Linked DNA regions of Schizosaccharomyces pombe. The protein of the gene in region 3 binds, or shares a complex with, the protein of the main gene of each other region. Each region holds a gene or a part of one and is shown on either strand. Other genes may lie near its edges. The genes, in order: rrp41, rrp42 and csl4.

Evidence for each region.
Region 1: csl4 (region 3) and rrp41 share a complex: the UniProt entries of both Schizosaccharomyces pombe proteins name them as parts of the RNA exosome complex.
Region 2: csl4 (region 3) and rrp42 share a complex: the UniProt entries of both Schizosaccharomyces pombe proteins name them as parts of the RNA exosome complex.

Annotation. Positions count from the first base shown.
Region 1 is NC_003424.3:3,161,488-3,164,893, reverse strand, and holds rrp41 (exosome 3'-5' phosphorolytic exoribonuclease Rrp41), read right to left. Parts: upstream 1,768-3,406; 5' UTR 1,674-1,767; coding exon 1,671-1,673; exon of another isoform or gene 1,623-1,670; coding exon 1,583-1,622; exon of another isoform or gene 1,472-1,582; coding exon 786-1,471; 3' UTR 540-785; downstream 1-539. Other genes in the region: ppt2 (holo-[acyl-carrier-protein] synthase new8), read left to right, coding at 2,040-2,224, 2,283-2,371, 2,451-2,575; pdc201 (pyruvate decarboxylase), read right to left, coding at 2,952-3,406. UniProt on the Schizosaccharomyces pombe protein: Non-catalytic component of the RNA exosome complex which has 3'->5' exoribonuclease activity and participates in a multitude of cellular RNA processing and degradation events.
Region 2 is NC_003423.3:4,230,255-4,234,738, forward strand, and holds rrp42 (exosome subunit Rrp42), read left to right. Parts: upstream 1-1,686; 5' UTR 1,687-1,698; coding exon 1,699-1,946; exon of another isoform or gene 1,947-2,012; intron 2,013-2,043; coding exon 2,044-2,695; 3' UTR 2,696-2,942; coding exon of another isoform or gene 2,943-3,530; 3' UTR 3,531-3,680; coding exon of another isoform or gene 3,681-3,725; 3' UTR 3,726-3,826; downstream 3,827-4,484. Other genes in the region: kex1 (serine carboxypeptidase), read left to right, coding at 1-209; BAG family molecular chaperone regulator Bag101, read right to left, coding at 2,943-3,530; top3 (DNA topoisomerase III), read right to left, coding at 3,681-3,725, 3,827-4,484. UniProt on the Schizosaccharomyces pombe protein: Non-catalytic component of the RNA exosome complex which has 3'->5' exoribonuclease activity and participates in a multitude of cellular RNA processing and degradation events.
Region 3 is NC_003421.2:2,277,415-2,280,869, forward strand, and holds csl4 (exosome subunit Csl4), read left to right. Parts: upstream 1-1,853; 5' UTR 1,854-1,918; coding exon 1,919-2,464; 3' UTR 2,465-2,872; downstream 2,873-3,455. Other genes in the region: U6 snRNP-associated protein Lsm8, read left to right, coding at 488-512, 567-735, 799-889. UniProt on the Schizosaccharomyces pombe protein: Non-catalytic component of the RNA exosome complex which has 3'->5' exoribonuclease activity and participates in a multitude of cellular RNA processing and degradation events.

The DNA.
Region 1 (3,406 bases), on a different chromosome or scaffold from region 3:
ATCTTAGTATACTCATTTTGTAGCTTTCAATGCTTATTAGAAAGGCCGATCTGTGATCGAAAAATATAAAAACTGCTCCGGCAGTGACTCGAACACTGGACCTCCTGTTTACGAGACAGGCGCTCTACCACTGAGCTACAAGAGCTACTGTTAGTTTGCACCATTATAGAAATATATAAAATAAAAATACTGTGTTTTTCATATTTTAACATTAACAAATTTAACATTTATCTCGAAAAACAGTTTTACGATTCTCATAATAAACCTTAGGTTTCTTATATCTAAAAATCTAAAAAAATATATATATATATATATATTTTCTTTTTAATCCACATCAATCTGTAATATCTGTTGAATGAAAAATTCCCGGTTGTTTATGAAAGCCTCCCCCAAAAAATAATCAATTTATTATAATAAGTGAGATCTGAATAACCGAATTTATTCATAAAATCTTCAACTAATTAATGAGCCTTTTTTGATGCATAATATCTACAGTACAATCCATATTTTTTGTAATATAAGCCCCTTTAGACAAAAAAGGGACGCAATCATTAAAAGATTATATACGATATTCGAGGTGATTTTTTTGATACTTATACAGAAATACCAAGGATAAGGACAAAAACGTTGTACTAGGAATAAAATGAGTAAAGCTGTATACGTTTTGTCAGAATATCGTAGAGCTAAGTAAAGTTGCAATTGTGATGACTTATCAATGTATAATTATAAAAATTAATCTTCCCGTTCATTTATTTTTAATAGTTTTTTTCCCCAAAATTTTGTCATTAGCTGAGACTTGCAAGTGCCGGTTTAGCGCTTTGTCGAACCGCACTTTGCATCGTGTTATAAATATGTTCTGATCCAGCGATCGCCATATTCATTACTGACTCCAAATAATCCAAATGCATACTAGTTTCCAGCTGCATATATACGACCTTTTTTATGTTCCCCAAAACAGCAACCGTCAACCATGAAAGAGCTGACTCCTCTAGTGAGTTTAAATCCAACAGCATATCAGACTCAACAATCCCAGCTGTACTACAGCAAACGAAATCTTTAACTGGTATACCAGCATCTATTAAGGCAAGAGTAGTAGCGTTGATACAAGATGCCATTACTGCACCATCATCTTGTAAAACATGCAAGTAGACAGAAATTTGACTTCTGGGATATAATTCTGTTTGAATTATCTCCTCAAATGTATTTTGTAAAGCTAAACATTGCAATTGAATTCTCCTATCCGATTTAAATCTCTTTTTCACATCTATTGTGCTGAAAGAAGCAATGTTTATTTCGACATTCACAAATGTTCTGTCAGCTCTAGCTTTGGACTTTATTACAGGCTCCGAGGGTCCATCGACTATACACAAGACCTTTGTGTTACCCAATTCAATAAACGCCGACCCATTCTCCGAAGGCTCGATTCCAATACGACACTGAAAGTTTCTCATCTCATCCCACCGTCGACCATCTTGCAACAAATATTAGCACACAGAAAGATTAATACATTTTATAAGAATCATAGATGTTTGAATGTAAATTTTAAGTTTCTTTTTCATTTCCCATAAATGAATTGGCTTACCATTTCGAAGACCTTCAAGGGATAAAATCTCAAAGTGTGACTATATGGTTAGTACTCGTATTATCTAGAGATAAATTCTATCTCTTACCATATGAAATTTTTTTTTTCGTGATTGAAAGGATTACAAATATATAATTTTTGGTTCCCTTTGAACACTTTTGTAACTGGGAGTGAGTAGAGAGTACACTTGTTACAGTAAAAACTCCTGCTACTGCATTCGCTACGAAACGAATTGGATTTGATGTCTTTGGGGGCACTAATCGATAATGAATTAGATAAATTTATTTCATTTTATTTAAGGATAAAGATTTTTATATCTCGTTTAGTGTGTCGGAAATTTAGTTTACAATATATTATTAATTAAGCGTTCAAAATTATTGAAGCCATAGATTTCTTTTTTTCTTCTTGCATTACCATTAATATTTCCTGTTCATGTTATAAAGAATCAAAAATCGAAATGGGTTTAGGGATTGACATTTTAAAAATTTCAAGAATCTCAAGATTAATTCAACGCTCTCCTGAATGGGAAAAGAACTTTTTAAAAAAATGTCTGTGTGAAAATGAAATTAAAAAGTACAACCTGATTAAAAGCAATTCCTCGCTGCCTCGTTTAAGCGAACAGGCTAAATGGCTTGCTGTTAGGTATGCTTGTCTATATTTATGATCGTTTCATAGTTTTAACGGTTATTTTCCTATGTAGATGGTGCGTCAAAGAAGCTGTTTTCAAAGCTTTACAACCGAATTTTCGAGTTTACATGTCTATGATGGAGTATGTTCGAACTCCCACAGGTGTGTCATTTGTTTTCCATGTTCAATGTTTAAAAATAAAAGGTTTGTAAAGTTACTGACTTTGTTATGATTAATATAGGCTACCCTTCCGTTGTTATTCATGATCCCCGATTTCCGCTTTCTCCCGTAATGGTATCTGTAAGCCATGAGGAAGATTTGGTTGTAGCGAATGCTTTGTATCTACCATCTATGCCAAAGACATAGACGAGAGACCAAATTGAAGGTACTATATTATTTAGTGATTCTATTGCTGCTACTCATTACCAGTCGTCTCAATGACCTTTTTTTATGTTATTGAGTTTATACTAACAGGGAATTATCTGGACAAGTCTACCTTGGAGTAAGGGGATGCAAAAAGAAAAAAAAAATAAATCATTCAATGAATCCTAATTACCAACAAAAAAACAACCGCTGCATAAACTTCAATATATTCATTCATTTTATGAAAGAAATATGGATTGACGTAGAAAAAAAAAACGACTGTTGCAAATTAACTAACCTAACAAAAGCATCATTTGAGAAATATTGTAAATTTCAAAATCAAAAACATATCATAATAATATAGCCATAGCCATATTTTTTACTGCTTGTTAAGAGAAGCGGTAAGTTTGGCTTGCTCAATCAAAACACGAGGAGCATCCAAGACAGGCATATGAACTTCAACGAGCTGAATTACATCAGCTTTTCCAAATTCCTCATCTTTAAAGAGATCGAGGAGCTCCTTTTCTGAATGAATGTTATAGGAGCGAGAATTTTTGGCACCATAGCCTTTAAGAAGGTTTTGATAGTCCCATTCAGTGTTGATGTCGTTGTAAACAGCGTGAAGACCGTGAATGAGACGTTCAATTGTATATCCCTTATTGTTAATTACAAATATGATAGGGGTGAGACCGTTACGGATGGTAGCAGAAATTTCCTGAACAGTTAAATGAAGGGAACCGTCACCAACAATCAATATGGAACGACGGTGAGGAGCATCGGAATCCTTGATGCCCAACGTAGCACCAAACATAGCGCCAACCGACCAACCAATTG
Region 2 (4,484 bases), on a different chromosome or scaffold from region 3:
CTGCTTTCTTTAATAATGACTTTGCCAGCTTACCATCGGTACCTAAACCCTCTCCGGATTTAGGTAATGGAAACTACAAATGGCTTTATTTGGGTTTGATTCCTGTTGCTTTAACTATCATTATTTTATTCTCAATTTATTTGTGCAGGAGATTTGGATTATTTGGTCTTAGCAAACAACGCTACCAACCTATATCTCCAACTCCTTAGACTGTATATAAATCTTTTCTGTCGGTTTTTACTTTCACATACAGATTTTCTGCTCTTTATTTTAATCATTTAACTTTTAATCTTGCTTTATCGGTGGTAGAATTTATTTTTTTATCTTGGAACGTTCTTCCCTGGTTTTAAAAAATCTGCGATTATCACCATAAATTTTATCTCTCATCTTTAATCAAATTTCACTTATGGATACATTCTTTGAATTTTTATTTTTGCACATAGTCTCTAAATGATCTCAAATCATGAATATGAAATATCATGTACCAAACATTGTCTTATAGCTATTGTTTGTTCTACAGTTTTTGTAGTTTTTTTATAGGACAGATTAGCGTCAAACGCTAATCTCAATAACGTGTTTGCAATAGTACAGTATATCATGGAGAACTACGTCTTGTAACATGTGTCACAAATGTATAAATACTAGTGAGATCTGTCTGTTTATATTGACAATCCGTTACATCCCTTAATAATCGATTATTATAAATAATTTATAATCGAATCACGTTCCTAAATTCAGTTAGAAGCTATAGCAATGGGAGGATTCTATCACATCTACGCATGAGAACAAAGGAGAACTGCAAGCTAATAACAGATCTACTGTAATCATATTTGACAATCCAAAATCGACGCACGTTATCAGGGACACAATTGATGCGTTTGGTAAATTTTACAGACAGCCTTAACTAAATAGGTCTAGGCAACGAGTGAACTAGCTCTATATCAAAGAAGAAATTGGATAGTTTTATTTCGATGACAACGTCTTTAAATCCATGATCCAATAGGCCCAACTTGCTTGTGGATGGATACTTACAGATGGCACGCTATCGAACAGAACACCAGATATGATCTTATTGCTACTCGGCCAAATTGCATCAAAGTGGTAAATAATATTTCAGCGTAGGTTTTGCATCCAAAATTTTGAAGGAATAGGTTATAATGAAGCACCAACTGCCCAAGCATTTTCAACTGATGTAAACTTGCGAAATTTTTAGAGAATGCGCCTTTTCTGCTGTGTCAATAAACAAGTCTTAGCTAATAAAAAAACATGTCGCAGTAGTACTGACAACGCTATAATTTACTACGTTGTGTATCACATTTGGAACATGTTCTATTTAAACATAGCCTCGTAGATGATAGATATTGGGGCAAATCATTTGATATCTGAAACAAATATTTAGTTTATATGTTCAACAATTTAAATAGGAAACTAAATTTCGTTCCTCACTTTAGTCAGAAGCTAATAACAGAAATAGATCATAAATAATACCTACATATACCAATATTTTCAATGACTCATAGCCGTTATACCTATGTATTATAATATAACAGATCACATGTAAAACTTATCGCGGTTTTGCATATCGTTAAACAGATACAAAACTGCGTAGCATACATAACGAACTTTAGAATATACGCAAGAACTCAACGCAATATTGCAAGGAAAATTATTCTTAAACGATATACCATTAGCCAACATATGCAATTGTCATTACCAGAACTATCGTACACACACAAATCAATAACAGAATTTGAGCCTGCAATTCGGAATGATGGACGTTCGATAGACCAGCTTCGTCCGCTTTCTGGACAAGTAGATGTTCTGCCTGGTACAAATGGTTCTGCTAGAGTTAAATGGGCGTCTTCGGTGGAGATAGTCATAGGTGTAAAAGCAGAAGTGGGTGATGCTACTCCCGAAGGTGGTAAATATGTCGCTTCAGTTGAAATGTACGTGAGATATTTGGAGTTCGTATTAACATTGTTTGGCGTAACAAACAATATGAATCAATTGAAAAAAGCTGGTATGCTAACACTTTTTATGTAGTTCTCCATCTGTTTCAATCCAGAATCGTGAAACCGATGAAATTCCTTCATTCCTTACAAGTGCCCTTCAGGATTTATTAAACGCACTTGCTGTCGACTATTTGAAATTTACACCATCTAAAGCTTGGATTATTCACGTAGATGCTGTTGTAATACTTTCTTCGTCTCCTTACGAAAACATTCTTTCAGCTTTAAGTCTTGCTGCTTATTTAGCATTACAGACTACACGTTTACCTAAAATTTCTACCCCCAATGTCACAGACATCACTATTGGATCTACTAAATATGAGCCTTCCGAAGAATACGATGTTGATTCAGAATGGGAAAATGCATTACCTTTGCAAGGGTTAGAATTAATGTCAGTCATAATTTTGGTTAGTAGCATTGATCAAGTGATAATTGTTGATCCTACAATTGAGGAATCAAGTGTCGCTCAAGTGACATATGCGATTGGTGTTCAAGCTAGTGGTGCTATTAGCTATACCAGGGTCGTGGGTACTGGAGGAGGCTACGCATCCACTGGACGTGCAATAACTGTAGAGCGATATATAGAATTGTTAGAGACTGCGTCTACCGTTGGTACTAAGCTTTTGAACGCCAGCAGCGATATTCTATCTTTTAAGGGTTTAGGATTTTTTGATATTCTTCCATAAATGAATTGGGTTGGGTTGGTCTCCATTTCCTATATAATAGCATCTTTCTCTCTATATATATATATAAATGCAATACTTGGGTTACGGAATCAGGATCAATTTTGTTACATGAAGAGGCATGCATCGGTATTTTTGGTTACTATGGTTGGTCATTGTATTTCGTTTAGGTCAAAGTCATATAGCAAGTATAGTAGATGGGAATAATTTAAGGGAAATGAAATGGTAACGTCTATAAAAATAATAAAGCCTATGCGGCCACTTCTTGGCTTGTTTGGTCAACGTGATCCAACATTTTTTGGATCTTAGAAACAAGTTGCTTCCGTTCAAAACGCAATTTCTCGCTGCCCAGTACGTCAACTCCATCCAATTTTAAAAGCTGTTGTAAAAGTAGTTCACTTATCATTAGTTTCTGTTTGTTTTTCTGCTTTGGATCGTTCGACGGTTTATTTACGTAATTGTCGTACATGGGGGAAAGTTCTTTGTCAACATACTGATCGATGGCTTTTATTTCTCCAGAAATACGCGAAAATACAGGATTCTCCGCTTCCGCTTTCGGAGCGGGCTCAACCGTGTCTTTTTCCTTGGAACCTCGTTGTTGCTTATGTGGTCTTATACATAGAATTTTACTATGATTTTTTAAACCCAATTTTGATAACGAGGCTTTTTTGTCTTTTAAACGCTTGCCAGCGTAAAAAAGCTTGACTTTCTTCTCAGAAATCTCAGTCGTTTCAAGTAAATCATCAATCAGTTCACTTAACGTCTCATTTAGATTGACTGCTACCGGAAATCGCTGATTTCCATAGTGTATTGTAACTGTGCTAGTCTTTTCTGACATTGACGATATTAAGTCGACTTGCTTAACGGATCCAACTCAAGATGTTTTATGTTTTTAAGGCTGATGCTATCCAAAAAAATGAAGGTCTTAATGCGACGCTTAAAAACGAAAGGTAATAAGTTAATAAAAGTATACGAGCGGTCTGGTTATCTAGGTTTGCGGTTCATTATGACTCATAAGGTAGACTCTGCAACTCTGCGTTATATTTGTTAGCAACCATAAAATGAAAAGATTAATAAATAAAGTATGGGATTTTGAAAATTGGAAAAGTAGGAAACAATGATAATTTGACTTACATTTTTTAAACAATCGAATCTTTGCTTTGTGAGATGAAAAACATCACGGAATTGGGTAAGGATCATATGAACTAGAACATTCCGATTAAGTTGGCCATTTTCTATGTTTTTAAGTTGAACTTCCATTTCTTTTCGCAAGAAAGGCTTGGTCAAACTCCACTCTAAACCAATTTCATCATAGCCTTTTGCCAAAGCAACTCCTAAAGAGCTTGGTACAAATTCAGTTACACCTTGGCCCCTTTTTTTTCGTTTTATGACATATTCTCTCTCCTGAACTTTTTCGATGTGCTCTGCCATAGTAGCATCTGTCCCGATTCCATTGGCATCCATCAAGGCAATTAACTCCGGTTCAGTGATATAGGAAGGGGAGGACGTTGAACTGTCCATCATGTCGAGAATGTGGGGTTGGAATTCCTCGTGAAGTCTATACTCTGGTAATTGATCCGAACTTTCCCATTTCTCATATGGATAAACCTCTAAATAATTTTTCTCTGTCACTAGCAATCCCTTTTTAGAAAAAAGCTCTTCTTCCATTTTAACCTGCACCAACGTTTCGGCTCCTTTGGCATTGTCAGAACAACAAGCTAAAAATCTTCTTGTAATTAGCTCATATACTTTCCAATGATCTTGGGAAGGAAGCGCTGACCGGTGAACCATT
Region 3 (3,455 bases):
TCTATATTCCCCACGTCCATAAGATTTGTATATTTGTTTACAACGGGTATTTTTAGTTAGAAGAACGGTTGCTTGTAATGATGAGGAAGGATTCGTGAGCCGGATATAGCTGGAATAATGTTCAATACCTTTTCCTTTAATAGATCTATTTTACAAAATAAATTTCGTTGATTAATAAAACAAAAGATCATTTAAAAATCGTGCGCTTCACAAATTACTTTAATTTTCTTTTGACACAAGATTGTGTTCCTTTCCAAACTAAAAATATAATTGGGTTACTTCTTATATTGATAGCAAAGTTAGCTTCAAAATTTTAAGACAAAAAGGTGTTTTCAATTTGATTAGTTTATTAAAATTCTTGATTTTTTTGTTTTTGCTGTATGTTTTATAAAAAGTATCATGTCACTTGAAATACATGCTGTAAGACTACCTACTTTTGTTTAGCACTACCATACTGTAATACAACTAATACTTAAATCACTTTATCATGAGTCTTGCTGATTTTATGGAACGTAAGTGTCAAATTTTCAATAGAGAATGAAGTGACTAATATAGATGTTCGTTAGAAAGGGTTCAAGTCATTACAAACGATGGTCGCGTTGTGCTAGGTTCCCTGAAGGGATTCGATCACACGACCAATCTTATACTTTCAGACTCATTTGAAAGAATTATTAGCATGGATCAAGACATGGAAACAATTCCTTTAGGCGTTTATTTATTACGTGGAGAAAATGTGTAAGTGGACGCAGAGCCTTGTACTGGCGGTACGTAAATCAATAATCTAATAGTTATTTTTAGAGCAATGGTTGGATTAGTGAATGAGGAATTAGATTCAGAAATAGAATGGACCAAAATTCGAGGTGAAGCAATACCTGACGTTGTGCATTAATACAAAAACCGGACGTTAAACTTCAAATGAGAACAAACGTTTAAGGCTACATAGGATTTGGGTTAATGATTTTTTTGTTATATTTCCTCTTTGTGCGGGCGAATCCTTTGCAAATTTTGTTAAGCTTTCCACGATATATTCATACCTTGCAGCATGTCTTTTATCAGGAAGCTATTAGCTCGTAGAAAGAAGTGAAAATTCTTTCTTTATTTTTTTAAAAAAATATGACTGAGGTTGTAGATTAATTCTGATGACAAAGAGTTGACACTTGAACGAAAATACTTAAAAAAATGGTTTAAAATACCGAGTTCGAGGACATCGGTTCTTTCAGAATTTAAAAAATTCTTGGTTTCTTGTTAAATTTGTGGATCACAAACTCATTTTTCTTCTTATTTTGTGGGTTTCATCTTTCTTAAATGATTCTTGGGAACGTTAACATACCTTTGTTTCCTTAATTTGATTTATGCACTTTGATTTTGAAATTTGTGGTCAACTTGTTTAAAGACTTTATATTTATCATTGATTTTTGTTATTATATGGAAAAAAACATCACAATTTATATCATTTACTGTGCATAACATTCTTCATTTTTGCTGTCACGCTTAATGTTTACACTGGAAAATTTCTCTACCTTGAGAAATATTTCAGCATCATGGTCCAATTTACAAAGATCATTTGAGTTAAACAAAAAAAATGATTTATTATATTTGCTGCTCATATTTTTTTTTTAGTGATTTTTTATTTTGGCATCGTTTTGTGAACTTACTTTCCAAGCTTTGGGATTATCAAGAAAAAATTTTTGTTGAAAGAAGAGCAGAAAAACTGTTTGATAATTAAATGCCTTTGCAATTTCATTTTCTCAATTTAGCAAAATAAACTGAAATTTCTGCAGCAGTGACTTTAGGTTACATTGTAACCTACAGTTTACAACGACCTTTGTGCTTACAGCAACTTTTTTTCAATTAATTTTTTACAGCCATACAAAACGGACTTGATTCCTTTATTTTTAGTTTATTAAAGCCGTTAAATATGAATTTGGTTCTCCCTGGACAGGTGGTCGCGAGAGGGGCTCCTAACGGTGAAGGAACGGTAAAGAGAGGAGATTATATTATTTCCACACGAACTGGCATCTTTGATCCAGAGAAAAATTCTGTAACGTACCCAAGAAAAGTTGAAGAGACAGCCGTTTTACCTAATGTCGGATCTATTGTTTTAGCTCGCGTCAGCAGGATCAATGCTCGTCAAGCAACTGTAAACATCTCAGTCGTTGACGATGTCTGCACCAAAGATGAATTTCAAGGGGTAATACATGTGCAGGATATTAGAGCTACTGAGAAAAATAAAGTCAAAGTGCAAAATTCATTCCGACCGGGTGATATTGTCAGAGCACTTGTAATTTCACTTGGAGACGGCTCTTCGTACTTTTTAACAACAGCTCGAAATGATCTTGGTGTGATTTTTGCTCAGTCTAGTGAAACAGGAGAGCAAATGTTTCCGGTGGATTATCAGCATATGCAAACAAAATCAGGATATACGGAAATGCGTAAATGTGCTAAACCTATATTAGACGAATAAAATGAGGGGATAAAATTGCTTTGTTTTGATATAACCTGATAGTTTTTTTTCCCTCTCGGTTCGTTCTTTCCTAACAAAAAAAAAATTCTGAAATTGTTAGAGATTTTATGATACGAATATACGGAACACGGATAAAAATAATATTGAATATAGAAATATTGGAAGTTCATTAGAATGATGATTGAGGTGACTTGCTGTCGAAACCGATATCATTTTCAATTAGAAGTCAAATGTATAGTTTTATAAGATATAGAGAACCTTTGTAATTCAACTGAACGGACAGGAGCTCTGAAGTTTCTTAAAGTTATTTACTTAATGGAACTGAATTGGTCGGTTGTTTATAAACTCTAATTCATTAACAAAAACATGAATAAGGAGTTTCTAGCAATAATATGTGTTATGTTTACAACTTTCTAAGAAGGTTACTGTATTAAGTTATTTTGTGTAATTTAATATCGAGGATTGCACCTTTCATTGGAGGCTGTGATATCCTGAAATAACATTTATGATCACAGATTTAAGGATGAAGTATTTAATGACATGAAAATTAGTATTCGTACACCTCTCAGTAACTTTTCAAAACTACTTTCAGTTTTTACATTAAGGGATTGGATGTACTTTTTATACACAGTTTTATAAAATACTAGGTTGTCTCTAAACATCAAGTATCATCTCAATCTTTACTTTCGGCCATTAGACTGATATATTTTATATCAATTAATTAGTAGACAACTGTTTCCAGATTCTCATATAAGCACGAGAGCTTCTATTCTACCCGTCTTTTCCGTATATAGCTGTCATGACTCATTAAGCTACTCCAGCGTGAGACTATCAAATTTAATCTCTTCATCCCTAATATTTGTTTGTAAATACTTATAATTGCAAAATATTCCATTACCATGACATCAAATAGAGGATTCTAAATCCAATTCGCAGGTACACTGACTTTAATGGATTCTGGGCTAGTTCCATAAAAAGGGATTGAAAGGTT